Styela clava: one gene and its partners. The protein of the gene in region 1 interacts with the protein of each later gene in a biochemical or structural test. Links are inferred from orthologs where the notes say so. Each region holds a gene or a part of one and is shown on either strand. Other genes may lie near its edges. The genes, in order: replication protein A 32 kDa subunit-A-like, serine-protein kinase ATM-like, E3 ubiquitin-protein ligase rfwd3.L-like and cyclin-dependent kinase 1-like.

The links.
Region 2: of the proteins of replication protein A 32 kDa subunit-A-like (region 1) and serine-protein kinase ATM-like, one has a biochemical effect on the other in vitro, tested with the Homo sapiens proteins (3 studies listed by BioGRID). The link is inferred for Styela clava from reciprocal best matches to the Homo sapiens genes RPA2 and ATM.
Region 3: the proteins of replication protein A 32 kDa subunit-A-like (region 1) and E3 ubiquitin-protein ligase rfwd3.L-like form a complex in vitro, tested with the Homo sapiens proteins (3 studies listed by BioGRID, with this or other methods). The link is inferred for Styela clava from reciprocal best matches to the Homo sapiens genes RPA2 and RFWD3.
Region 4: of the proteins of replication protein A 32 kDa subunit-A-like (region 1) and cyclin-dependent kinase 1-like, one has a biochemical effect on the other in vitro, tested with the Homo sapiens proteins (2 studies listed by BioGRID). The link is inferred for Styela clava from reciprocal best matches to the Homo sapiens genes RPA2 and CDK1.

What each region holds. Positions count from the first base shown.
Region 1 is NC_135250.1:25,184,999-25,192,179, reverse strand, and holds the start of replication protein A 32 kDa subunit-A-like, read right to left. Parts: upstream 3,009-7,181; 5' UTR 2,839-3,008; coding exon 2,820-2,838; intron 1,255-2,819; coding exon 1,154-1,254; intron 600-1,153; coding exon 498-599; intron 1-497. UniProt on the Homo sapiens protein: As part of the heterotrimeric replication protein A complex (RPA/RP-A), binds and stabilizes single-stranded DNA intermediates that form during DNA replication or upon DNA stress.
Region 2 is NC_135262.1:13,263,095-13,269,939, forward strand, and holds the start of serine-protein kinase ATM-like, read right to left. Parts: upstream 3,011-6,845; 5' UTR 2,093-3,010; coding exon 1-2,092. Other genes in the region: zinc finger protein 862-like, read left to right, coding at 3,841-6,183.
Region 3 is NC_135262.1:4,158,979-4,166,234, forward strand, and holds the start of E3 ubiquitin-protein ligase rfwd3.L-like, read right to left. Parts: upstream 3,020-7,256; 5' UTR 2,978-3,019; coding exon 2,881-2,977; intron 2,174-2,880; coding exon 2,036-2,173; intron 1,154-2,035; coding exon 1,043-1,153; intron 412-1,042; coding exon 207-411; intron 1-206. UniProt on the Homo sapiens protein: E3 ubiquitin-protein ligase required for the repair of DNA interstrand cross-links (ICL) in response to DNA damage. Plays a key role in RPA-mediated DNA damage signaling and repair.
Region 4 is NC_135260.1:19,957,858-19,965,806, reverse strand, and holds the start of cyclin-dependent kinase 1-like, read right to left. Parts: upstream 3,012-7,949; 5' UTR 2,838-3,011; coding exon 2,801-2,837; intron 2,531-2,800; coding exon 2,374-2,530; intron 2,001-2,373; coding exon 1,877-2,000; intron 1,606-1,876; coding exon 1,435-1,605; intron 1,030-1,434; coding exon 866-1,029; intron 393-865; coding exon 251-392; intron 1-250. UniProt on the Homo sapiens protein: Plays a key role in the control of the eukaryotic cell cycle by modulating the centrosome cycle as well as mitotic onset; promotes G2-M transition via association with multiple interphase cyclins.

The DNA of each region.
Region 1 (7,181 bases):
ACGAAAAATATTACAAGACCAAATACAACATAAGCATGCTTGAAAAGACAAGTTATACTCAGAAATGTGGAGTAAATTACAACATTACAGCAAAAGATGGAATGGCATAATTGAATATTTTCTATCTTGAATGAATTTTAATCAAGTATTTCGAAGTCAGCAGTAATGTAACCTAAGGTAATGTAATTTGTCAGAAGTTTACAAAAATATATTTGGAACTGGAAGTCCACGGAAAGTAATTTCTATTCTAGAGCAGTGGCTCTCAAACTTTTTAAACCGTGCCACCTTTTTGAAATTTGTCAAGTCTTGCGCCCCCCCCCCCTCCCCCTACCAACAATAAATAGCTAACAATAAACTACATATACATATTACTTTTACTGTCTATGCTGCCCTTGTGGGGCGCGCCCCACTGTTTGCAAAACACTGTTCTAGGAGACTAGTATTTGAGTACAGATTTCTCTATATTATTCTTGTTTTTCAAGTTCACTAATACATACCTGGCCAACTTCCAAATCTTCCAGGAAGAATCCGTTCCCATCATGTGTGAGAGAAGCTATATCTGATGTTGATAATGGAACTATATTTTGTGAACGAAATTTCTGAAATAAAGTTGATAATAATATGAAGCGAAGGCAATAAGAAAAAGGTTTCTTGATGGTACACTAAATTGATTTTTTGGAATGATCTTTGAGAATAAACTATTGAAGAAAAAAATCATTTCAGAAAGTCATAATCTAGAATAATAAATCCTTTGCAATCCAGGGATGATTATCTGTTTGCCAAACAATCTTTAGCAATTCTTCAGAATGTAGAAAAATCAATTTATCAAATCCAGTCAATTTTTAAAATGATTCTCGAGAAAAAAGATGAATGTTGAAAAATAAAATTTCAGTTTAAAAACCAGGATTCAGATTAATAATAACTTCTGTTAATTCTCAACAGTTACTTGAAAATATCAAAATATCATGTGGATATTTTAAAATGATCTAGAATAAATATTGGTTCCAAAACATTTTACAAAATCAGCACTCTAAATAATAATTTATTCGCAATCACAAAATGTTCATCCATTTCAGCACGTTTGCAAGAAAATCATTAACAAATCTTGACAACACAACTTCAAAATCAAAACATTTGTCATGATTGCTCTTACCTTGGTTTTATCTCCTCCAGCTGATGGTGATGAGAATCCACCTTGCTGAAATCCTCCTCCTCCCATTCCATCACCGTATCCCCCTCCACCTCCGCCGAATCCTGAAAACATAAAATTTGAGGAAATTAAATTATGACATATTTATCCTGCTTTGCTAATTTTAGATGGTAACCTTATTAATAATGGCAACATCATTACCACCCAATCACTTATCAAAAATTTAAATTTTCATTCTATGTATATTAAGTTGTATGGGTTTCTTGTTTGACAGTTTGAAGAACAAGTAAATTACAGCATTATCTCTCTGTGCAGCTGTGCACCAGTCTGTATTCCATAGATTTTTTTTCACTAGAAATGGAGCATGCAATTAGAAATTCTCAAATCAGATTTCCTGGCGTGCGGTTAGAGATCGCTGCATGCAAAACGACTGAGCCCGCGTGCAACTGATTATTACTTAAGATACTCTTCTTAAAATTCGTGTAAAATTATTGGATTAAAAATACGTTGAATCAGTCACAAAACAGTTAACCATTACGGTATCAAATATGTATTTTGAGAATGTTTTTGCAATTTGGTGGTTAAACACTCATTTAAATTTTAATAACGGTTATTTCGTCTGCTTACATGCATTTTTGCGAAGCACTAGCGTACTCGGGCGTGCACCTGACATGAAATCCAGTCCGCTGGTCTGGGATTGGCCAACAAGTCCACTGCCTGACTGTGTAGTCTAGGGTGGCTTACCCACTTTGCGGCCACGACCTATTTGCGACCGTCAACTTCATCGATTAAATTAATGCCGAAAAAATTAACAAACCGCGACGATATTTTTCACGCGTTATCGTCCACTTATTCTTCGTAGCTCTGCGAAATTACACTAAAATGCAGCCACAAACAAAAAAGTTTCGACCGAAAACACAACCGAGGAAAAAAAAACGGACCATTTTTCCATGTCGCCAACTACCCATTGTCCCTTTAAAAAAGCTTAAAAATTCATACAAATATAAGAGATAAAAAGATGAAACTTGGCAGGTAGAGTTGTGTTTCTTTCAACCATCTTTAAAGTTTAGCGTTTCTACATTTAAAGGAGGGGGAATAGGGGGTGCGCATTTCCAATACGTCGATAATCCTAGCCAATGTCGATCGATTTGCGACCACCGTGTTTTTGTCTGTTTGATTGCTGTGATGTGGTGCTTTGTTTATAATTTGAAGAGTTTTGTTCGAAATAACCGTGTTCTTAAAATATATGACGGTCAGAAATGCAATTAGGAGCCCATTTTTTCACGCATGGCTGCGTATGCCCTAGTCTCGGCGCAGCAGAAACGATGTTCAAGGCTTGAAATCCGTGTTCGCACACTGGTCGTTCGGTCGCAAATAAGTCTTCAGAGTGTTGTACTTTGGTGGTTTGTATAGCTTTAACCCCTGGTCGTAGAAAGTTTAGCGTGTAGAGGAAATGCCAATGCACCTACGGTGAAACAAATTAAAGGGGTTAGAAATAATGGTTTTTGTTTTGTAGCGGTTTGAATGAAATCGTCCGCAGACTGGCTACACCACCCTACTACCAGTAAAAATATAGGCTCAGAAATATTAGCCTATGTCAGTATGTTTTCAAATTTTCTTGTCAAAACTCCAAAATCTGAAAATTAGAGAACAAAACGAGGATGCTTACCACCACCCCCTCCAAACATTTCTCTATTTGGTCTTCACTGTCGGGTTGAGCGAACAAGCATGAACAGCTGAACGAACCAAGCAATATACGGTAATCCGGTTATCCAACGGTTTGCTCCTAAAGGTCAGAAACGTTACGGTACGTTACCCCAATTCGTGAATCATCAGACCAACACTTCTCTTTCTAATATTCCCTCCAGGTTTTCGCGGGCTCGCACTCTAGCTCCCTCCCGTGTGAAATATAGTTGGACTTCCCATGTTGGACAAATATCTTTCCAAGATGAATTGACTTAATAGTATATATACTCCATAATATATGACAATGAAGTTAACGTCAAATGCTAAATAAAGTGATGGGTACGGTATTTTCTATCGGTAGATAAAATGGTACGAATAGTTTGCGGTTGTAGGCAGTGGTGGGATTCTGCCGGTTCGCACCGATTCTATTGAACCGTCTCACGAAATTTTATGAGATCAGCGAACCGGTTAGCAACACTGGTTACTGTCAATGCAGAGCCAATGACTCTGGTCAATGTTCTGTTTGTAACAGAACCGGCTGAAAAATATGACTTTTGTGAAGAAACCGGCTGACAAAAAATTTGAATCTCACCACTGGTCGTAGGGTAATGACGACTATGGGGACGTTCTAACATTTTTGGCATTTTAAATATCATTTCCAGGAGTTTTTATGTGGCATTAAATTATTCTAAATAACACGAACGTTGTGTCAAGCGTTAAAAACATGCTGGTCATGAGCTCTTAGACCTCAGGGTACCCTGCTCACTGGTAGATTCCGCACTAGGTCTCGTTTATAACTTGTAAGATCATGTTCTAAAATATAACCAATTTAAAATTTTATATCAGTCAGAAACGGGTAAATTACGGCCCACTTGTGTCTGCTGAAATTACGACTATAATTTTTATGAAAATAAATTTCCGTTGAAATAACGTCATAATGACCCCGATTGTTACATTGTGCTTTATATTACTATGCAAATGTTTGCCTGACTGTTGGATTAACTGTTGTAAATAAAGAGTTTTTTAATCATGGTTTTTCATATTGAGTTCCGAGCCTCCGGCCAAGTCTATTATCTGTAACTGGCCCACTCAGCAAAGTAATTACCCACCCTTGAATAACTACTACAGTTTTTGTTTAATTTTTCATTCAGGTTCATAATTCTCGACCAAAATACATATCGTTCAAAAAATTAAATACGGCCGAATACATGAAGTTATCCTAATTTGAAAAATTCCACCCCTTTAACTTCATTTTGTGAAATGGTAATAAACTATCGATATATAGCTATAGGCTACTAATTTATCCAGGCAACAGCCAATCTGATAATTAATATATTTTTACTATTTCAGAGCTGTTTTTATCGTAGGTCAGTTTATTTTAAAAAAATAGATTTCAAATAAAAATGAGAAAAAATTTACTATTCAATCTACTTAGGTGATTAGCGTACGTATCTTGCGTGTAATTACAATTTCGTATTCATTCCAAGCTATTTAAAAATTTTACAGGGTCGTGGAAGGTCCATTACAACATCTAGATTCTCTACGACGTTGGTGTCATATAGCCTATGTGCCTCACAATGCTTTATTTACCATGGAAGGTAAAATTTTTATTCACTCAAATTGAAACAAAAACTTAAGCTAATAATAAAAGGAAAACACTTGGTCTAACGTCATTCCAATACTTGTATGGGAGTGCATTTTTAGTATGAATTGCATAGAAACACAAACAATAAATTCGAAATTTTGCTATTCTATTGCATGTACATAGAAGCCTATTGACGCACTAGTATGAATGTTAGAAAATTCCAGAAAAGTGTACAACAACCCTTTCAATGATATGTTTAAAAACAAAATTGAAAATTTGTCTGCAATAGTTAGGACTTGGTTTTAAAATAAGCAGATACGTACGTGTTTATAGCAAAATATAGGTTATTTCCGGTAGTGGGATTCAATTTTTTTTGTTAGGCGGTTCCATCACAAAAGTCATATTTTTCAACGGGTTCTGTTACAAAAAGTCATGGACAGTAGCCAGTAATGCTGACCGGTTCGCTGATCTCATACAGTTGGGACGGTTCTATAGAACGAGTGCGAACCGGCTGAATCCCACCACTGGTTATTTCCATTTTCAACTAACGGGAATGCTTGGTTTTAATTTTTTTTTCACACTACGTCATCAAACAACAAACGTCTTGTTAAACCTACCCAGTAAAATGTGAGAATGAATATACGACGAGAATGAATGAAATTTTGTAAAAAAAAAAAAATATATAAGATGTCAAACACACATCATAAACTGAATATTACAGACATATAGCATGTGGTTGAAATCAGGCTTTTTACGATTGAACTTGTAGATTTTTAGCATTATATAATCATGCACTCACGAAATATATATATATACAGAAGGTTTTGAAGCAACAGTATTGAATATTCTATTATTATATATACTTTATGAACATTTCATAATCCTAGATTGAAGTTTAAAGCAAGGATAACGTCGGATTTTCAATATAGAACCTAGACTTCAGGATTGTTTGAAAAAGCTATCCAAACGAAAGAAGCCCTACATGGGAACGACAGTCTATGCTATTTTGTTATACTTTCGTGAAAGAAAAAATATGAAAGTATCACAATAATACTGAACCCAATGAATTTCAATATAAGCTATTATCCGTATTCACAAGACTGAGTTGAACTTATTCAAAAATAAATTTGCAATATATATATTTGATTTTTTAATAACGCATTGAAATACAAGTAGGAGAATATCAAAACAGAAATACCTCTAGTAGTCACAGGTACCTTAGTTTGCGGCACTATATAAATTCCCACTACTTTATTTCCATCGCCCCCAACACCTGGGAACGTTGGGTGAGGGACCCAGGCCAAGAAACGAAATAGCGAAAAGAAATGAAGAAATATAGGGGTTTTAGTTGCATAAAATGAGTAATTAATTTAAACTATTAATTCTTATTAATGAATCTCAAATATTTCAATGCACATTCGGACCTTTACAACATCAGAGTATTTTTAATATTGGTGCGCATTGTGAAATAGAATGTATTTGATTAGGGCTTAGGCAAACGAATTCACTTTAAATTGAGCAAGCAGCTTCACATAAACGACAGAATTGCCAGATTTTTGTTTATTGTATATACCAGATTGTGTAAGCCGAGAATCGTCAAGGCCGGACATGAGTAAGCTGCGGCAATATTACGCTGTTTACTGTTTTGATGATGCCTCATATTTCAGTTCATTGTGAAGAGAATGAAATTCCCCCGACCGAATCCTAGCAGACGCATTTGAAAGACGAAAACGTAGGCGTTACGGATACAATATTTTACGCAATTTCCAGAGGTGGGTTTCGAAACGTAAATAACATTTTTTGAATAGTTTTTATTCTTACTATACACAGTTCAACAGGAGCATTATATGACGGAGTAGGCCATTTCGTTCTTTCGGTAGTCGTTGGAATCTATATAAAAACAGTAGTGGTACACATAATAAATTTGGTAACTACTTGTTTCTACCGCGCAAAGTCAGAGTTTCGAGGTGTATTTGTATATAAATGATTTTATCAGAAGATTTTTCTTTTCTATTTATTATCTTGTCTTAAGAAAGATTGCAATATCATCACATTTAGTTTTGTTTAGTTTAATCCACACGATATTATATGTTCATTCTATGTCTGAAGTGTGAAATGTCTGATAACTTAATTGTACTTTAGCAACTGTTCGCAAATTTGCATATATATATGTTTGCTCTTGACCAAGTCTTTGGATTCTGATCTCAGATAAATTTCAATAGACGGTTTAAAATAAATAACAAATAACAATATTAAAATATTCTGAAATCCATATCATGTGTTTTAAAAATACCATTGAGTATGTTAGCCTTCTAGGATGTAAGGAATAAGTTTTAGACTCAAATGTGCGATTAGATGAAAGCCGATTGATAAAATGCTAAACTGTTTATTAGCGTATTATCGGCTGGCTTACATAATTCAACTCTATTGAAATGAAAATCCAGAACTTTTGTGCTCAGGCGAATGGCCAAAAAAGGACAGTCCTACCGAAAGAAAATAGTGAGGTATTAGGGATGGTATTACCAGTGAAAGAACTTTCGTTAACACTCTAAATTGTCCGGTTATTCGGGTAAACGATAGTCGGAGCGACGGCAAAAACAATGCTGAACGAAATTGTCCTTTTTGGGGGGGTTGCCTGGCCTTTCATTAGTGTTATGTTAAATTAAAGACTTCAGACCATAAACAACGATGAGTGTATCTAAAACAGTTGTACAATAAAAACGTTAAAAATGTTTATTTCTGAAAATTTTTATTTCAAAT
Region 2 (6,845 bases), on another chromosome or scaffold:
TGACTGTATCAGAGGAGATTGAATCCACATACTTGATTACATGACATCCATTACAGATTATACTTTTTTGACAAAGGCCCAATAATAGTTGGGCTATTTCAGCGGTGTCAATTTTATCTGTTTCCGATTTGCATGTAACTATGTTTAAAGTGGGCATTAATTTCGGAGAATCTTGAAGAGGCGTCTGACTGTAATTTTCAGATTTTGTAAAACTTTGTTGACGAGAAGAACTGTCAGAATCTTCTTCTTTATATCCCAAAATCCAAAGTAATAATAATACGCAAAGTGGGTCGCATTGTGACATCACACGGTAAGGTTCACAGTTCATAAAAGTGGGATTGACAGTCAACATTTGCAAGAGTGTGCAGAAGAAATTATTATCATCCTGGGTAGAATTAAGACCATAGGTATCAATAAAAGCTTTGACAAATTTCAAACTATGATCATTTGGTTCAATGTGTAAGTATATAGAAGACCAAAGGCTTTGTGTGTTCTTTACACATCTTGTTGCAATAAAAAAATTTGCTTTACATTTTCCATCTAATCGTACAAGAGTTGTGAGAAGATCTAGAACAGTGTTATTGATTACTGATTTTGTTGCTTGTGATAAAAAGGTGGTGGCGACATTCCAACAATCTTTCCATATAATGGCTAACTCAGAATCAAAGGATTTTAAGACCTTTGGAATGTGACATGATACAGTCTTGAATACAATACTCAAACACTTTAAACAATAAATTCCAATAATGTTGAGATTTACTTTTGTAATGAGATGCTGGAATTGAGCAGCAATTTTTAAAGCAACAGTGACATTCAAGAACTCCTCATTTCCTTGCAGTAGACAGGAAAGAATTTCCATCCAATACTGTTCAGCATTTGTTACCTTTTTGTCTTTGTCAAACGAAAATATTATTGAAAATGAACTTTTATCATCAAAATTAATCTTGTTCAACAGAAGGTCACCAACTTGATTGGGTGTTGATTTTTGACCTTTGAATTTCTGATTCAAATGAAGGTCAAACAGGACAGAACATGCTGATGCAGCAAGTTGAATACATCCCTTGTTAAATACCACAGTTCTATCTGTTTTCAATCTATATGAAAGAGAACATGATTGTTTTGAAAGCTGCATTTCTGTTCCTAATAAAATAGAAAACAGCTGTGTGTGCCATGTCGCATAATCTTTCGCGTATGCACAAGAAGAAGGGTCTATGCTTCCCCTAGGATGATGCAACGTAATCTGTCGAGAACAAAATTCAATCACTTGACCTAATGTGGACTCTGGTAAAAGATTTCCGATCCATATACATATAATAGTATCGATGCAATCTTCACCAAGTTGGCAACACGATATTCGGTAAGAAACTGCATACCATTTTATATATAAATTCACAGCTGTAAGGACATTCTCCCATATTGTAGGTGTCTTTACATTAGTTAAACCTTTTATCACATTAACAAAAATTGAATGTAGATTGTGATAACTACTAGGGACTGATTGAAGAACTAAAGCATGTGTTAAAGATCGTAACAAAACAGATGACGCAAACTTCGTTTCATTTCCTTCTTGCGTCAACTCGAGCATGCAAATCTTAAAAAGATTGTCATAAACTTCTTTCGTTAAATCACAGATGTATTTTTTTTCAGCCAGAATTTCTTTATCTATTAAAGATAATATCATCACACCGTAATTTAATCGAAACAAATTTGAATGTAAACAATTGATAAGAAAATTTAAAAAACCTGTTACTTTAATTCGAACCAAGTCAACATTTGCAATTTGTAGAATTCTTTTTGTTAAGATAAGTACATCTTGCACTTTTTTAATTTTATTGTTTCTTGTCGAAAGAGCCCAAGATTCATATTGTTTGGACAATGTCCCAGATTCTTTTTCCAAATAATTATAAACAGTTTTGAATACTTGATTCCATTTCCATCCTTTTTTGAAATCTGTTGATTCATTCAATCTGCTCACAAGTTCTGAATCTTCAATAAAAAGTTTAATCCCATTCAAACCTTTGTTTTGATCAGTTATTTTTGATGAATCCAGTAAAGAGCAATTATTGAAGAGTTCAGTCAACTTTCCACTCATATTTTTGTATTTTCACATGATACTGATACATATGTCTGTATGTAAATAACTGCAAATTCACAATTTAAAAAACAATAAAACAACTTAAATGAGTGAATGTGAAACAATGAAAAATGCAACATTTAAATATTCATAATACTGTAAGTACACAAGTATGTAAGATTAACTGTGAAGCGATACGTTGAATGTCTGAACTCCCTAGTATTAAAATTCCCTTTGTAATATTAATTTCTTACAGGTCTCAGAGTTTACTCAAAATAACTCATCCTGTCATCGGTACTGAAGAATATTGCAATAATCGACGCTACATACAGACATATCAAAATTTAAAAACTGAGCTCACGGTACTGGGTTTGTGGAATATCCGAGTCACCCGACTATGTAACTTTACTCGTATCACCGGTACAGTATTGAATAAGTTCATTTGAGAGAGAGTTTATTTCATTTTGTCAAACCGAGAAAACAATTTATGCACACATGAACAAATATCAAAAAAATAGTTTTCGATATATGACTGGGGGCAACGATACAACCTTTGGGGGTCATCAGGGTCAGTTGCCACCCAATTATATTAAATAAGCATAAAAATAACAGGTTCGTGTCAATATATCAATGTCTCTCACGATTTATACTATGTACAATATTTACATGAATTTACTATTTTCAATTATGGAAGCATTCTTTTAAATAATGGGATTTTGCACAAATTGAAATTATATTGCAAAATATAAAATGATCGAAACGAAAAAGAAGTGGGAAAGCAGGTCAGACAAGCTACCCCTTATTTGGGTAACTTGTTTTATTGAATGAATTTAAGTTAAACATATCAAGTGTGATTTTGAACAAGCAAATATGGGTAGAGTTCTATTCTACACACACTAGTGCAATGTAATCAGGAGCATGGGTTGAGCGGTCTTACTACTTACTGAATACAGCGCGAAACATTGCAAAGAGCGCAAAACAGCGCGAAACAGCGGAAAACAGAGGGAAACAGCGCAAGACAGAGGGAAACAGTGTGAAGCAGAAAAAAATTTTGCAATGAGTTCGGGGCACCTTGTTTTGAGTTGGAGTACCACGGCAGCAAATTGAAAACACAAAGCAGCCCCTGCTGGTGACACATTTTGGGTACCATAATTTAGAACATTTTCCATATGGATATGGTTGGCTTTGGGGTTAGGGTTAGATAAAAAGGAACCTCCAGAAGTATGTGCACCAAGATGGCGCACAACCTGCAGGCTTGCAAATCTACGCGAGTACGCGAGTCATACTCTAGTCTAGACTCGCGTATTTTGCCCTACCCGAGTCTAGCTATTACTCCCGTAAAAAACGTCATTACTCGCGTCCAGCAGTACACGAGAGTCCGAGGCGATTTTTTCCGCCGCCTCTCTCTCTTTATTCTTTAGTGACGTAAAATCGTTTGCGGGCGATGGTTTATGATGTCACAATAGTACATTACAGCGAAAAGCGAGGAATCAAGCACGGGCATGCCTCCAGACGACTTGGCGTTGGCGAATGCAGAATGTTCCCTTGTAATAAGGCAGACTGCGAATGCGTATTATGAATTTAATAGAAGTGTTGCAGACTAACAAAGATGAGATGTCGGTGAGACTAGGGCTAGTGTAATTAATTAGTTATATTAACGGCTGTTTTGTTGTAAATTACCGGTAAAAGGGTATTTTTGCGTAACACCGTTTTTTGTTTGTTTAAAAATACCACAGGAGATATTATAAATTGTATGATTAGAGTAAATGGAGGAAAAATCAAGGTCCGTCTCTGTAGCGGCCTGGAAGTTTTGGCCAAACAGATTAAAGGACAGTTTTACGTTCGGTTTCAACGAAGATAATACCAAAGTCGTACATGCAGCATGCATTGTATGCAAAAAACATTGTGACAGAATACAGCGCGGCTATGGAGGCAAAGTTGTTAATGATGTGACGACTTACGGGGAGAATGGCACCATATGGATTTTAAGATATAATTTAGAACGACACCTCAATTCCGAGGGCCACTTAAAGTGTGTCGAAATTGAGAATGGGAAGCTCCCGACGCAAACAAGTATCGCTCGCTTATGGGGCTGCCAAAAACAGAGGGCGGAGAACGCCATAAAACCTCTTGTTCGTACTGCACTGTATGTCTCTAGAAAGGAACTGCCTTTCAATGCGTTTGCGGACTTATTACAACTGTGCGCAGACAATGGCGGCAAAATAACCACGTCATATGGTAACAGAGAAGGTTGTAAAGCCTTTATACATATTCTCGCGGAGGAGATATTGTCCTCAATAAGAAATGAAGTGCACAAAAAAGTAAATTTTTTTAGCTGGATGGTGGATGGGTCAACAGTCGTCAAGCGCAAGTTATCGTACGAGTCGGAACTAATTTACATAAGAATAGCGCACGAATGCAAACCAGCTGTACACGAAATTGACTTGATTTCAATGAAGGAATATGTTCGAGTGGACGCTAACAATTTGTACCACGCTACATTGCGCTCTCTGTTGAGTTTCCTGATTCCCGATATAACAACAAATTGTGAGACACCCATTGAAAATCTTGTGGAACTTATTAAGCCTTTTTCTTCAAAAATTATCGGGGCCGGCGCCGATGGCGCTGCTGTTAACTTTGGGCGTAAAACGGGTTTACTTAAAAAATGGGAGGACGTGTGCCCTGGTCGGCTAATCAAAGTACATTGCTATTCACATCGAATTGAACTAGCATCGAAAGACGCATTGACCCCCCATTTCAAACAAGTTATTGACTTCCTTATTGACATATATTATCATTTTCGGAATAGCCCTAAAGAATGGGCCGCCGTATGTAATGCGGCAGAAAAGTTGCAGACCGCGGTTGTTAGTGTACCAAAGTCGCAAGGCACAAGATTTGTGGCACACACACTCAACGCACTCCATGCGCTAAAAACAAATTGGATTGTTTACATACATCATTTCACTAACCAGAGGGAGGCTGAGTCAGATATGAAGGCTGAGAAATTTCTTGTTAATCTTCACAGCTTCAAGTTCTATATCCTATGTCGCCAATACGAGGATATCGTAAATTGGGTATCTGCCACGTCAATCGCAATACAATCAGATCATGACGGGTCATCCATTATTGACGCTATCAAGCAGATAAAACGGTTGAAAATGAAATTAACTTCTATGGAACTTCGCGGCGGTCCTGCAGAGCGAGAAGCGCTCGATGCTTATGACAGGGGCGACCTAAATTGCACTCCGCTTCCGTTCCGTTTTACCAGACACGAAGATGGTGGACAAACGAAGGCAATACGCATTACTTGTAAAAGGCGTGAAACACCGACCGCCAGACTCCTGGAACACGAGGAAAGCGTGGTTTTTCATTCTGCAGAGGAAACCATCATCCAGAGATCCCAAACAACAAGATCGCAATGCATAAGAAATCTGCGTGATTGCCTGGACGAGCGATTTACAGAAATAGAAGAACAAGAAAACATTTTGAGTAAGTTATCATGGCTGAACCCTGAAATCTTGATGTCGGATGGCGGGATTAATGCGTCCGTCCCTGAATATGGCAATCAAGATCTTTCACAAGTCTTTGAGTACTTCAAAGTACCTCTACACGCAGCTGGGTGCGAGAAGGGTGCATGCTTGAAAGAATGGGATGATTTGAAGTATGACGTCCAGGGAAATGAGGTTTACAAAGATTTGAGCACTACCGACTTTTGGCACAAGTTGCACCAGCGAAAGAAGGAGGCGTATAAAAATTTGTTGATCGTTGTCGAGTTAGTGCTTTGCTTACCATTCTCAAATGCTGTTGTCGAAAGAGGGTTCAGTTGTTTACGGCGAATTCTCACTGATTGGCGATCACATCTCGGACACAATATGATAAAAGATCTTCTATTAATTGCCACGCGAAAAGAACAGTTCGAAGACGGGGCCATTCGAGAAAATCTGGTCAACAAGGCTTCCGCCCGATTTATGGGAAGCGATGGGACGTCTGAACGAGGTCTCGTGAAACGACGTATAAATTCAATTTTAGGGGGGTTGGAAACGGCAAAGCCCAGCTTGGTACAGCCTCAACTAATAAACATCGACGATAGCTCGTCGGAAGAAGACTAAAACTGTGATATGTGAACCTGAAAGCGTCACACGCATTTCTTTGTTCGTCGACACAATTTCTAACCTTTCTTTTTATACATTTTAAATGATGCGAAGTCGACGGGCGGCGATTAGCGTTTAATATTCAATTTCGTTCTTTCTGTGCGATGTTTATTTTGCATGAACTCATCTGCTACATGCGAACTTATTTTATAGATTTCAGTTTGTACGGCAAATGTCAGACTGCACGAATGGTTTTGTTTATTAAAAAAAAAAAAACAGGCGATGGCAACGGCGACTGCCGTTTATTAAAGTTCCTCCCTTTATTTTGCAAAACTTGAGTTATTATTTTCTTTGTAGGGTAACTTGTTGAGAGTTATTCACATGGTTGATTACCCCGATATATAATTAGGTCATTTACGTCGTGCGGGGAAAACGGCGTCGCAGAGCACGCAGCTATCTTGATTAGTATTTAATGAGACGCTCGCAAGTAGCAATATCGCAGAACGAGGGTACCGACGGAGTAGTGTTTATCGAGCGAAAGTAGGTGTGTAGATAGTGTGTGCGTAGATATAATTAGACACATTGACTCGTGCCTGACTCGCGTAACATTTTCCTGGGACGGGAGTATATGTGACGTCACTATGACGTCATTGAATCTTTCGAATTCCGTTAGGAGGTCG
Region 3 (7,256 bases), on another chromosome or scaffold:
AACCCCAAAAAAAAGTGTGCTTCCAACCCTATGCCTGAGATACTGGTGGGATCAGCACTTTCACTCGTAGCCATAGGACAAGGCTGGATAACCTTCCAGGTTCTTAATCAGTCGAATTCCCAATGGCGTTATAGTATTGTGTAATGCATAACTCGTTGATAGTAAAAATATGGTTCATTTCTTTTATAAATAAAAATGTCACTTACTTCAGTGATGACAGTCTGTGTTTTCCACTGTTTGACCAATGTTCGAAACAAATTGGACAACAATCTCCGTCTTCTTCTTGAGATAACGACGATTCTTTCGTTTTCTTTGGGCTCGGATTAGGTCGAGGTGATGATTGCTTACGTTTTGTTGATGTGGATGGCACGGGGGTCAGAGGTCTTGAGGTTGTTGTTGTTTCTGGTAGGGCTGAAATGATCAAAATGCTTTGGTAAAGTTTCAGCTAGATCAGGATTGGGCAAGGTGTTTGGACCAGAGACCAAAAGACTGGCGGGCCATGTAAGTGTGGCCGTAAAAATTTACATTTTATGAATAATATTTGCAGTGTTATAAAAGCAAAAGTAGAAAACAAAATTTCGTCTCAAAACTAAATTTAATCGCAATCTCAACAAATTCCTCGAGCATATTTTTTAGCTCGGTGGGCCATTTAATCAACTTCAGACATTTAGCTGGGCCCCACAAAGAAATTACAGTAGTTTTTCCATCTACACATTGAATTGCATAACACGAGTTCTTGCATAGGTTTTTAGCATCAGCCAAACTGACCGTTCAAATGTACCGTACATCAGTCAGCAAGAGTAGAGAATACGGCTTTTGCCTAGATAGCCTTACAGTAATAAAAACGGTGAAAGATTTACCGCAGCGACAAACGCAAAAAAAAATATGGATTTTTGCCTATGTGAGCGCATTTTCATCTGACATCTGACAACAACAATACTACCCCCCTAGCAGTAAAAAAATGAATTTTTTGTGTTGCAATTAGTACACTGGTATTCTAAACTCGGAGAACACACTCCAGCTATTGTAACTTGAAGAATACCTGTCTGTCCAATTAGCTGACTGTCTGCTGATCTATACCCATTACTTGCAATTGATAATAAATCTTCTTCACCATTATTTTCTTCTTCTTCTTCGTGATCAGTTTCTTCACCTATAAGCAAGCGGAAATGCGTGAGTTTACTGAAAGTGGGTTTTATGATAATCGGGTAAGGTTTCCCATCTGTAACTGTCTCAAATTTTTATATTTATTCGTCAAAGTAATACAGAGATGTTTTAATACATTTTTTCCCAAAGTTGATTATCCGGGGGCCAAAATTAGCATCTGAAGGATATTCACGGGCCAGGAATGTGGATCCCCTGCAAGGGGCCGATACGGTATGTATAATCAAGATACTGGTATAATTGAATTGTGACAAATATACAAATTTTTAAACTATGATAATGACATAACGAATGGCGGTATCTAGAACGCAAAAAAAAAAATATATAAATTGGTAAACTAATTGACCTACGTTCGGCAGGTCATATTGAATCGTCGCGCAAGCCGCAATGGGCCGTCATTTGGAAATCACTGGAAAGTAAGAATTCCAGCAATCCATTAGTAAAAATCATCCGTGTGAGGCTCAAACTTGTGAACTCATGACGGATGATTTAATAAAGTGACAGTTTTTCTAGGACTTAGTATAATAGTATAATGAAACATCTGCTAGGCCCCTCATTTGATGAAATTTTCATTTCAGCCCGACTATATTGTATAATTGCATGCAATTCAAAATTCCTGCTGCACACTAACATGGTTTTGGTCAGAAGAAACGTTACAGAATTATATTTGTGTTAGTGTGCAGCAGGACTTTTGAATTGCATTGTATACTCCTATTTATTCCTGCTACAGCATCATTGCATTATCGCATATGATCCACTACCATAAAGGCACAGAGGAAGGATAGGAAGTTAGTCTCGCGCAACCCAACTAACAATATATATAAATTATTGGAAAATTCTAATACACATAAAATTCGGACAATTCAACTACCTGATGAAATGACATTTTCTTCATTTTGATCCAAAGTATCAATCTCACTTGAGTCTTGAATATTTGGGAGGGCATTTCTGCGTTGTAAGTGCCTTTCGTGGTTTAGCAACATTACATTAGAATCTGTGTCACTGGTTTCTGGAAGTGAAAATAAAAAAAATAGTTGAAATAAGAATTTTTAAATAATGAAACCAAAACGAAAAAATTACATGAGACAAATCTGGATAAAACAATAAACCATGCCTTATGTTAATATGTTATTATAGCTCATATCATGAATTTCGGCAAAAAACTCCTCTGAGTATAGAAAAAAAAAATAATTCTCAAAACTGATTAAAATATCAGACTTTATTTTCAACAGTCAGCAATGGTTCAAAACTTTTAAATATTGTTGGTAACTATACAATTTTCACACCAAGAACTGCTACGTAGCCCCCTAGAGCAGGGTTCCCCAAACTTGGGTCCGCGGACCTCTGGGGGTAGGTGATGACAGCACAAGGGTCCGCAACGATATGAAAAGAGTCTGATCAATGATTGATTTCAATCAAAAAGCCATTGCATCATATTGGTTAATCATTGAGGACGAATAGCCATTGCTAACAAAAAAGGGAATTAAAATTTTAATAGCTTCTACAACGACACACATATGCGAGTCAGCATTTTCAGCTTTTACCAATATGATGATAAACCCTGCCCTCAAAGGCCCAGTTTGAAAAAAAAAATCACAATCGAAAACATTCAAAACTTCCAAATTTCGTTGGTTACTACACACTTTTTCATACCAAGAAACGCTACGTAGCCCCCGAAAGGGCCCGGTTTGAAAAACCCTGATCAAAAATATTCACCTGATTGAATATCTTCATTATCTGTTTCATCATCGGTCGATGGAATTCCATTGGGATTCCAGTCTATCCAATCATCAGAAGTATCATAGTCTGACATACTTCAAAATATTTATCGTTTTTTGAAACTATATTATTTTCATTTTTACTGCCTTGACAAAAAAAAAGCAGAGTGGTTACCATTGGCACTAGAAGAAAAACTATTTATACACAAGAAAAGAAAACACAAAACATGATAATCCTTTCTCATAGATATGTATGCAACGAACATGGATGAATGAAAGACAGGCTTTATCACGCACTGAAAGAGACTGGGAAAAAAGGCGGCTGAGATTCAAGAACTAATTCAACATACCATATATCTTCATATATAAGTTGAATTTAAAACTATAAGAAAAAAGTGCCAAACTAAGGGGCCAAATTATATGGGCACTAAAAATTCTGCTTATGGGAGCATTATGTTTTTCATCAATTCTCTCATGCAACCATTTGCTGCGATAGGTGTGTACGGCGTGTTGCGATTTGTAGGGTCAGTCTATATGAGAATTTATATAAATTCACTGTTTTGGGGCCATTTTTAGGGGGTCAGCTTCTATGTGAGGACATACTGATTTCCGCCAACCAAATTTGTTCAATTGAGAAGATTAAAACATTGAGATTGAGTGAATTTTTAAGGTTGGAATTAATGGAAAGTCTTTTCGGACTTCTATCATTGAGAGTGTCAGCTTCTTAAATCAATCTGTCACTTTTTACCCAGAAAATGTCTCTCGTCATGAATTAAGAATCCTCCCAGTGTAGAAGGAAGTTATAATTTGAACAATATTAGAATTTAGATGAAAAAAAATTATTAAAGCCAGTTTTATGACTAAAATACTCATTACTAATAGAATAGGGCTACTACATTATAGTTGAATCAAAAATTTGCAACGAAACATGAGACGATTTCAATTTCTAATATCCAACATAGATATCAGAATAACAAATTACTCAACGCCCATTAAATAACCAGGTAAGCAAAGTTAAATCATTCAAGAATAAATACGAAACAATCAATCCATAATAAATAAATGGCCAAATTAAATATATTACACTTTTAGAATGAAATGAATTGATTTTTGAATTAAAAGAATCTTGTATTTTCAAGATATTTCATGCTAGATCTACAAGTAATGAGAATGTAATCAGGAAAACATACCAATGTACAAGATAGACCAAATACACTGATTCAGAATCCCACAACATTTAATTCAAATCATTTGCAATTCGATGGCACCTTGGTATGCGATCTAAGTGTCATAAAACTACTTAATTCGTGATCTCAATTGCTAAACATGATCTAAATCACATAAAGACCTCATAGAATCGAGTTTCTATCATCGTTGGGTTAGAACAGGGGGTGGCCAAGGTTTTTGAACAACGGGCCAAAAGTTTTGCCCAGCTAGACTGGAGGGCCATGTAAGTGTGACGTAAAACTATATTTACAGTATTACAAAAGAAAAAAAGCCTCGTGCTTAAACTAATTTTAATTGCCGAATTCCTTGAGCTATTTTTTAGCTTGAAACATCAAAATTTGGTTTTACTTTGGTTGTGGCAGCATCGGGCGGGCCAGTTTGAATTACTCAATGAACCGGATTTTTTTGCATATGTCAGTGTTAAAATCAATTTAATACTAAAATTAATGAGACTTCACACCTGTTAAGATCGCATACCAAAGTGGCACCTTGATTTCTAATAATCAAATCAATCTGCAATATTTATTGGTTCAGTTACTACATTGTCATGACTGAAAAAAATTCCTATGCGTCCTAAAACACACTCAATATTTGACAACGAAAAAATGTTGCAGTTTGAAATAAAAGCAGTGAAATAATAAGACACACAAAATAGAAAGACAAATAAATATCGGGTCCTGTTATTGTTCTATAACTAATATTCCAATCTGTTATCTTAATTCTGTTCATCAAGGATTAGGTTAAAAAGATGAGGCATTGGCCCAACTTATTCTAGCCTAGCAGTTCCCAATTGGAGGCTTTCCAAGGGAGAGCAAAACAAAAAAGGCCACAAAACCAGGTGCAAAACTGATTTTACCTTTCCCTTGCGTTCTTCCCAGTTTCATTGCATGACAAGGTAATTTCACAGGGTGTTTTCACTTTGTTGCGCATAAATTGTTTGAACATGATCGGATTTAGAATCTACCAATCAAAATAACACTACAAATATCACTGAAATGATGAAGAGGGGTCATGATTGCTAAGAGCCTCCGAAAGGGAGCCACGAGCCATAACAGGTTGGGAACCACTATTCTAGCCTAAGACACGCTAAATGAAGGACATTATATCAGGAAATTAGCGATGACACAATAACAAGACATTCATGATAATTAAAATAAAGTCCGAACAAAGGCAGTTTCTGAAAAATCTCCTAATTTCAACGATTAAATAAACAACTCCCACATAAATGAGTCTGATATTCTTATTGCCAATGAAAATCCAGACATAATAAAGTGCAGTTCAAATCAGTTTATCTTTTTTCACCGTTAAACAACTCAAGATTATTGGAAGATAAGATTTCTTAATTATACAGGGTATCCATAAAGTCTATTTACAATTTCAATTTTGTTATGAAGTCAGTTCTCAATATATCTTAATCAGGTTTGTTGTTATTTAATCAGTAATTATTAAATAAGTATTTTTACTTCAATTGATATATCTGTGAGGGCCAAAATAATATATGGTATCGATAAATTCCTTTCGCGATTTTAAGAAGTTTAAAGACCACCCTATATATTGCAAGTCATATATACGTATTGACCATGAGGCCCAAAGCCTCGTTCACACTTATTAAAATAAATTGTATTCAGAAAATATTTCAAATTGAAATAACATGATTTATAATTCTCTCAATTCAGGAACTGAAAAATTAAGCTGGAGGGACAGTATAATAATTAGGATTAATTTCGTCGATACAGATTACCAATTTTATCCATGAGAGTGAAGTCGTTGGCTATAAAAAGACGCATAACATATGAATGAAAAATTCTGACACATTTTACCAAATGAAATAATTAAAATACAATCACAAAAGGAACTCAATATCGATTGAAATAAATGGAACAACATTCATGTAGAAGTAATTATTTTGACACAATCGCTGAATATGAAAAAAAACACCATATTTGGCCAAAAGTTTGTACAATGGGTAAAGGTACGAGAGAACCAGGCATGTATTTTTACGTAAAATAATTTAAGCAGCAGACACTCAGACACAAAATTGTAATTAGGGATGTTCAAACTATTACTTCAATTTTTTACTATTATTCTGAAAATAAGAATGGGAATGAACAAAAATTCTGATCCTAAAGAGGTTGAATGAGTTCCTTTGTGAGGTGTTTTTACCATTTCTCCAGACAATCTATTAGTTGGACAAACAGACACTTATAAATAGGGATGTGTTTTGAAATTCAACAACAAAAAAAGGGAGGCCAGCATGTCTTCAAAAATAGAACGAATAGTAGCGCTGGATATCTTCCTAACAAAAAAAAACAAGCTGAAACAGAATCTGCGAAAGCAACTGCTCGATTTATCAGTAAGACGCAATCCCTTCATCTATAAGTGTTAAGACAATAATGCGAATTATGAAAGCAACTTTCTGGTTTTTACTTAATGAAGATAAAATGATATTACTTTTTGAAGTACACACAATAAATTACACACTGCGATTTTGATTTTGCAAGGCGAGCCTAACCACCAAAATCAATAGAGCATGTACTCCAGAGTACAGACACAGAAACAAATTACTGAACACGAAGACACCATAAATTAAACAATTTGACAATTGCAGACAAATTCTATGAAATATTATGAATACAAATAGTTTGATTTTATGAACTGAAATATTTCCTATCAAACAGGACTTCACTGAATGTCTGTTATGCTTCCAAACTTAACACTCTACAACAGGAAATGAAGAGAACATGAAAGATGTACACAGATAATCAATCAATGTTTAATCCATAAGGGTAATGATTTGTTTGACATAGAGAATGATAGTTTTGTGCAGAGCTGCCTCTATGTTCCTTTTTTTTCAATATATGAGGCTGAGAAGCCGTGGAAAATCAGCATTTTAGTTACAAAAAGGAAGTTTATCAAAATGATTATTTTGTGGTTAAATACCGAAGTACTCAAGAACAACTCAAGTTTCAAGTACATAGGTTATTTACATAGTATTAAGACCCACCATAATGAAAACATCAGTGACCCATTCTTGGTTGAATTACCATAAAATTTCCTACCTATTCATACATATTTTTGATACCTATTTCAGGGGTAATCATCTGTATGTTTGGTTCATCCACAAAATTATTTCTTATAAACCGTGAT
Region 4 (7,949 bases), on another chromosome or scaffold:
GTTCAGTCCACTTCTTGAGAGACTTTTTTTACAGGTAAATTCAACAAATTTATTAAATGACATCTATAATGACCTTGGGACATCTCACAGAGCCAGTTTCCAGATAATTGAATGAGATTCCTAATTTCAATGACCAACTACTTCATCATCACCATTCACCATAAGGTGTTCATGATGAACCATACAAATTGCATGTACTGCATGTGAAAGTACACGAAAAACACAAGTAAAACATATCTCATCTGAATACCATTAGCAAATCCAATCCTTCATCAGAGAGGTTTTTAACAGAATCCGCAATATTTCCTTTTTTCCATTTTGGGAATGTTTGTTTGTAATCTTTCAGCGATGTGACTCCGGGCCAATCATCATCAGTAGCAGTTCCCAACACTCTAGAAGATTTGAAAGTGTATATTGAGAGTATTAAGACATGTTATGATATTCTCAATACTATGCAGAATTAGGATTCAGAGCAGTGATGTCGAGCCTTCATCCTCACAGACCAAAACTAAAAGGTCTATTATTGATATTGAAATAGCTTGATGGCTTTTGACAGTTTCTACATGTTTTAGTGAGTTTTTGAAAGTATGTCATGAAATCTGAATTTTTTTTTCATGGAAATAGCAAAGGGATATGAAAATGAAGTTTTCCGTATGCCACTTCTGATAATAATTTGCATAGAACTTCCGGTATCGCTGCTCGATAACCAGCTCTGGTTCCCCGCGACTTCCCTTCCACAGTAAAACTGTGTAAACTATCATTTTCTCTTAATTTGTGCTCGTGTGGAAAAAATAAACTCAACTCAACTATATTTAAAATGGAGATGCTCAGAAAACCCATAAAATAACAAAGCTGAAATTCGAACCTGAATATTCGAAACAATTGATCAATTTCTGAGTCTCCATGAAACAAAGGTTTCTTTGTTGCCATCTCAGCAAATATAGTTCCAATACTCCAAATATCAACAGGAGTAGAATATCTCGAGGATCCCAACAAAATTTCTGGCGCTCGATACCAGAGAGTGATCACCTAAAAATAACAATTCGAATGTGAAACTTGGCATCCCATTCTTAGAACAGTCTGCTATTTGCAAGAATTTTATGAACTGGATATGGAGAACTTTGACTGTTATCAACATGAAGTATTTGGTTATATTAATAAGTTACCATCAGATATGATACTTTCTTTCCTATGATATCATAGTATTGCAATATCCGCACATATGTAAGATAATGATTAGTTCTTAATGTTTGATCTATTCTTGCAAAACCTGTCCAGTGATACTATCTATGGAAAGCCTATACCATAAGTACCAACCTAAATTAAATATGTTGGCTGGTAACCATTATGTCATATACGGAACATTGATCAATAAACACTTTTCGGAATAAGAACAAGTATGAAGGGGGATATGATAAGAGCAAAATTGAACACCTCATGCGTGTAGATTCGGACAGGGATCCCAAAGGCACGAGCAAGACCAAAATCTGCAAGTTTGATGATGCCATTTTTGTCAATCAATAGATTCTGTGGCTTCAAATCTCTGTGCAACACTCGACGCGAGTGACAAAATGTGATGCCTTGCAATATCTGGTATGTGTAACTCTGTTGGCGAGAAATGTAACAATAAAATTCAATGAAAGCAAAGCAACCCACGACGGATTAATATAGTTATATGATAAACAAAGTATACTAAAATGTCATACTTCATATAAGAATTTCCTCCTAAAAGCATACATGGATACACAGGCATAAGTGGAACTATTAACTAGTTGAATATTTATATAGCCAGCTTTTGTCAGCTCCCATTTCCCACATTATAAAATTAAAATATCCCTCCTCTTTTTTTATGATGTACTGCAATATAGATGATTACCTTTACCAACTCTTTGTCCATAAATTTTCCAGATGGAATTGAATCCATGTACTTTTTCAAATCCATCTGTAAAAACTCGAACACCAAGTACAGTTTGGACTCTTGCAAGAGGACGTCAAGCAGACTAAAAATGATAGATTACGCATTAAATGAAAATAGCAATATCCGAAAACAATTCTGATTACAAGTTGATGGTAATGTCACTTTTGATTCAAGCTGCGAACTACTTTGGCAGATACAATGCATCTTTAATAATTTACCGTTAATAAGAACAATGATTTATCAACATAATTGGACTGTAGAAAATTTGAACTTTGAATATCACCATGAAATGACGAAGGATTGAAATTTCAATCCAACTCCAATAACTCGAAGTTGAGATTAATATTAGAAAACTAAAACTGAATTATCTAATGGAAAGAAAAAGATGACCATATGACAGAAAGATAGAATTCAACAGCACACTTAAATAAAGTTTTAATAAAAGTTAGACAAACCTAACAATATTGGGATGAGCCAGTTCTTTCAAAATGGAAATTTCTCGAATTGCGGTACTTGGCACTCCCTCATCTTCACTCTCAAGACGAATCTTTTTCAGTGCAACATGCTGGTTTGTTTTCTTATTACGTCCTTTGTAGACCACTCCATAGGTGCCTGCAATAAAGTGTATATTTGTTTAACTAGAAACAACAAAATGAACAAATCTTAATACACTGATAATATAAATAATATAGATATATTAAATTGAAGTTAAGTATATATGATCCAAGGTTAAAGGTTCAAACTCTATGCACAAGACTGAGTAACCTGTAATAAAATTAATATATTCAAATTCTGTCTAGAAACATAGTGTGTTAGTGATTGCTCGTAAAGCGCTTGTTTATGAAGATGTTGGAAGCCTAAATGAAAACAAATATGTCCCACCTTCACCAATCTTCTCAATTTTGATATAATCTTCCATCTTGTTGGATCCGGCAAGCAGTTCTGAAAGTACTAGTTACGAATCTGATGGTAACTCGCTTATTTAGCAGATATATTATTATTAAGAACTGCCGTACGCACCCAGTGTCTGCCTAGGCTTCCCCAAGCTAATCCACACAGCAACAAAATTAGCACTTGAAAATATAAAATTAAATAAAAATTTATCAAAAGATTTTCCATTAGCTACTTAGTTATGAAAATGTAATTTTTACATAAACATTTTGTAACAAATACAGAAATTAAAACAAAGAGAGTATTTGCATTCAAAGACTGGTTAGCCACCTTATATGCTATATTAATATAAGGACAATTACATAAATAGCAATAGAATTGTATTAGTATCCCAGCATAAACTAATTTTGGCGTTTGTCATTTTATTGCCTTTGCTTTATGCGATGTTCAACTACTTCATATTGACAACCATACAAACTTAACCAAAGGTCACAAATATATGACAGTTTTTGAGGAGTATTTGTATGGATTTATTTAGATATATTTAACTTTTTTCAATGCTGTTTATGGTCTCTATGAATACAACGACAAACTATATTGAAGAATATGATTTTGAGCGATTATATAATTTGTGTTGTAAAATATAAGATTATAAAACTCTTCAATAGAAAATTACTAATTTGGTATCAGGGCACAGTTATCAGATTCCAAGAATGTCTCAATAGCTAGATAAACACTTATTTGTCGCAGAAACGAGGGGTCTGATATAGTTTAGTACCACATGCACTTCTAGTTGTCCTAGCATAGTATGACATATGCAATAATTTTTGCATATGTCAATCCTAACCCCGACCTGACTACATCACCGAAAAATTAAGTCATTCCGACGTCACAGTGACGTAATAAGGCCCACCGAAGTATGCGAATGGTCGTCCAAAACGCGCAAACAATCACCTGAATCGAGCAAGCTATTTCTCTAGCTTTCTCGTCGCAACGATCATGATTGGAGATCGCCGGCTGTAGCAAGTTCGTTATGAACGGCGCAGATGTCATTTCGGGCGATGCCATTGCTATGATAAAATTTTTTTCAGCCAATATTTTTTAAAAAGGACTCTGATAGAAGACATTTTTAGATTTTTTTTTTTCAGTTTATTACAGAGTATCGATTTGCTAATCTTGAGGTGATACCGGTATGGCAGTATGGAGTGCCAACGCTGTCAGGATGTCTCGTATAGGAGGGGTTTGTATTCAACGTTATTATTGATGTCTTTAAATATAGCGGCTAGTCTTGGAATTGGAGGACTGTGCAGTATTTTGAATAAGCACCATTCAATTGTTGCTTTTTGGTTTTTTGTGTTATGAATACTGTAAATATTAACCGCTTGGCAAAATCAAATTAGAATTTTTTTTCGACTGTTATTGTTAATAGCAAATATTGATATGATATGTAGTTTAAATAATATAACAGAGACCGGGAGACGTGGTTCCACAAACACTAAAAATAAACGGATGATATAATGCAGTAATGACTGAATCTGAATGGAAGGCGGATATACCTTGCGAGAGATAACAAGAGTTATCTGCTTTAGTGGCATTTTGATTGCCACATATACAGTTCATAGAAGAGTAATCACCATATTTTCAGGAAGAAAAACACATCAATACTTTCCTTTGACATGCGGACATGATACACAAGAGAAATATTTTTGTCTTTGCTCTTAACATATTTCTGTATTTCTTTAAATACTGGTAGTACCGGTAGCCTATATATATATTATGCCACTATAGTCTACCTTTATAAAATCACTAATAAAGTGGAACACCGAAATCCAGTCAATATTTCATTTAAATTCAGAAATTAGACGTCACCTGACTGCTTGATACCGTAACTAATACTAGACCCCATACAGACATAGGATTTACATATTTATCCCGGGGAAAGGAAAGCCGATAAGACGGCTTATCCATATGGCGAACCATAGCCTCTCGTCTGGTTACCATTCCAAGTCGGGTATGGGATTAGTTATATTGTTTGTTTTCGGAAGCATAGACTTGGTGGTGGAGGAAGCCGTAACCGACCAGCGGGCAGCGGTTACGTGACCACCCAACGACGACGACGAGTCCAGCAATCCTCTCGCACATACGGTAACCATCCCATAATTACTAGGTTTAATAAAATATGTTCATGATTCCAGATCCACAAGGTCATCACACCTAAACTTAATACAAGACTAACTTCGAATACGAATAAATCTCGGGAGTACAGGCAAAATAGAACAATTTCTGAATTTAAAGTCCTAAGACCCGCAGTTAGTACAGCACATTCGTAAATAGCGCATCGAGACTTCCGTCCAATCAGGACGCCTCAAGCCAGTGACGTCTTGTTTAAGTCAAATCAAAAGTTTCGTTTGAAACGCTCGAGTACGCAAAGCAGCCATGCGAGGTTTATGCTTTCTTTTAACTTTAAATTAACCGCAATCGCACATTCACATTCTGTGAAATGGTCTTAATATTTATATCAAGCATTTTGTTCATATATTATTGGCACACTACTCAGTGTGGATTTAGCGACGCCCCAGGGTTTGATAAAATAGGATAGGATTCTATTCATCTAGGGGAGGGGAAGGCGATAAGGCGCGATTTGAACCTGAGAACCCTATCAGGGTAATCAGAGGTCCTGTGGCAAGCGCATTCCCAGTGCTTATATGCATCACACCGCCGAATATTCGTATTTAGATAAATTATTTGTTTTCAACTTCGCTATTTATTCTGAGTATTTGTTTACCCATTTAGTAAATGCATCCTGGACCAGGATGAATGGTGGAAAATCAAGATAACCGCTACCGACTTCATACTTCGTAGACTATTAATTTAAAAAACTTTTTCTGAATTGCAACGGCATTATTGGCATTTTTGACTACAGTATAAGACTACAACACACTACAGTTTAATTCCGTCTACACTCAGACTATACAGTACTGTGACGACCCCCCATTGTTGCAGCATAATGTGCTTATGTGCATCTTAATTCATGATTGCAGGTTATTATACGAAAAGCCTAACAAAGTTCAAGTGTCCACCAGTAAGAAAGGGAAAGTTATGAAAGGCGCACATTCAACAATGAGTGTTATGTAAAATACCTCATTGTGCAACACAATCAAGATCTAGTTTGCCTGATTTGGCAAAGCGAACTCTGCTAGCTACGATAGCATTGTAGGTCAATCACGGGTTGACAAAATGCAGCAATTAAAACAGTCTTTGAGCAAACAACAAGAGGTATTCCATGATTACAAGGACACTGAGATAGTTACAAAACTGAGCTTCAAGATAGCTGAAGCAATTGCGGAAAAAGGAAAGCCGTACAGCGATGGTGAATTCATTAAGAATTGTTTTAAGATATTCATCAAAAATGTATCCACGGAGAAGAAAAATTTAGTGGAGCAAATAAGTCTGCCTCGTTTTACAGTGGCTCGACGAATAGACGATCTATCGGAAAACATCGAAGTTTCTCTAAAAGACAGGATAAGCAAATGCTCAGATTTTAGTATCGTTTTGGATTGTTTAATGAGTTGTTCGATGGTCTGACCCCCGGTATCACTATACTTGTAGTTTGTGGCCCATTGCGCAAAACAGTTGCACGCACCTGCTGTATACGTTTCTCGTGTTCTATTCTGCCCTTGTCTCCTTAATCACGGCTCAATTTTGACCATGTTTTGATACAGCCGCTGCTCGATAACCAGTACTGGGTTTCCGCCTTCAACCTGAAACGTGACCTATTTATAATTCATTGCAATTTGTATGCTTGTGCCTATTTGATGGTATAGTGAAAAATAAACTACTGATTACTGATTGCTTCATTTAAACACAAAATCCTACGATGTTATGAATCTCAGTTTCGCCGAAATGTTATGATTATGAGGTAAGTTATTCGCGATATGTCACACATAAAGATTTTTGCTACTCGTTGGATTCTGCGTCTCGGAAATCGCAGATTAGCTTCGAACAAGTATTGAAAAGCGTATCTCCCATAGACCAGTGGTTCCCAACCTTTCTACCCTAGCGGACCGGTAAAATTAAATGTACTCGCGTACCGGCAAAAAATTGAAATGAGCGGAACAGAAAAGAATATCATATATTCGAGTAATGTAATATCGGGCACTCAATATGCTTCTAGACAAAAGGCACACCTAAAAACATTTCACACAAAGAAAAAGTATATATCAAATAATGTGTCGGCCAACAATTGAAATGGGTGAAACATAAAATAATATCATATATTTGCGTAATGAAATGAGGTGCTATGCAACCATTATGCCTAAGAAAGGCACACATAACACACTCATTTAAAAAACATGTACAAACACAATTACCTCTAGTCAGAATTTTGCTGCTGTTTCGTTTCCAATATAGGATTGCAAACGAGGCCGCAAAGAAATTTCTGCAATACGTAGCTCTGCAGCGGCGTGCAGTCGACTTCCTTGCTTCGTTTTAATTCAAGCTAGTGATGAAAATGTTTTCTTTTCGCGTAAAGCCTAAGTAACTGGTTGAAAATAGGGACAACAGTTTGATTGCTCGATTACCTGGGCGATGGATATTCGTTATCAAGAGATATTAAAAATTGTGACAGTGTTTTTTTTAAATCTGGACTGTAAAGTAGAATCACAATTTTAATCAAGCTTTTTCTTTTTCACGAAATGAATTACATTACAATGATAAAGTCGTCGGTAACTTGGCACCAGTTTCAATCCTACTGTGCCTGCTGCTTGAGGTACTGGAAAAGATCTCAGCGGCCCATGCTTTTTTGTGCGTCTCGTGACCACATGCAGGGTCGCAACAAGTTCATATCTTACTGGAATAATATACTGTTCGTATCTGTTTTCTGGTTTAAACAAAGAAATACGGGGGCTCCCGAAGTATGCGAACCAAGATGGCGGACATCGGAATGTAACATGTGTACTAGGTTAGGGTTAGGCCATAATTTTAGGTATGAATGCTACGGGAGGCTCTTGGCTAGTCTTCGACCTGATAATAGGACTAAAATAAGGAAAATTGGAAAAAAAATTATCGCCTCACCCTAACCTGTTACCCATGTTACGTTCCGATGTCCGCCATCTTGGTTCGCATACTTCGGGAGCACCGA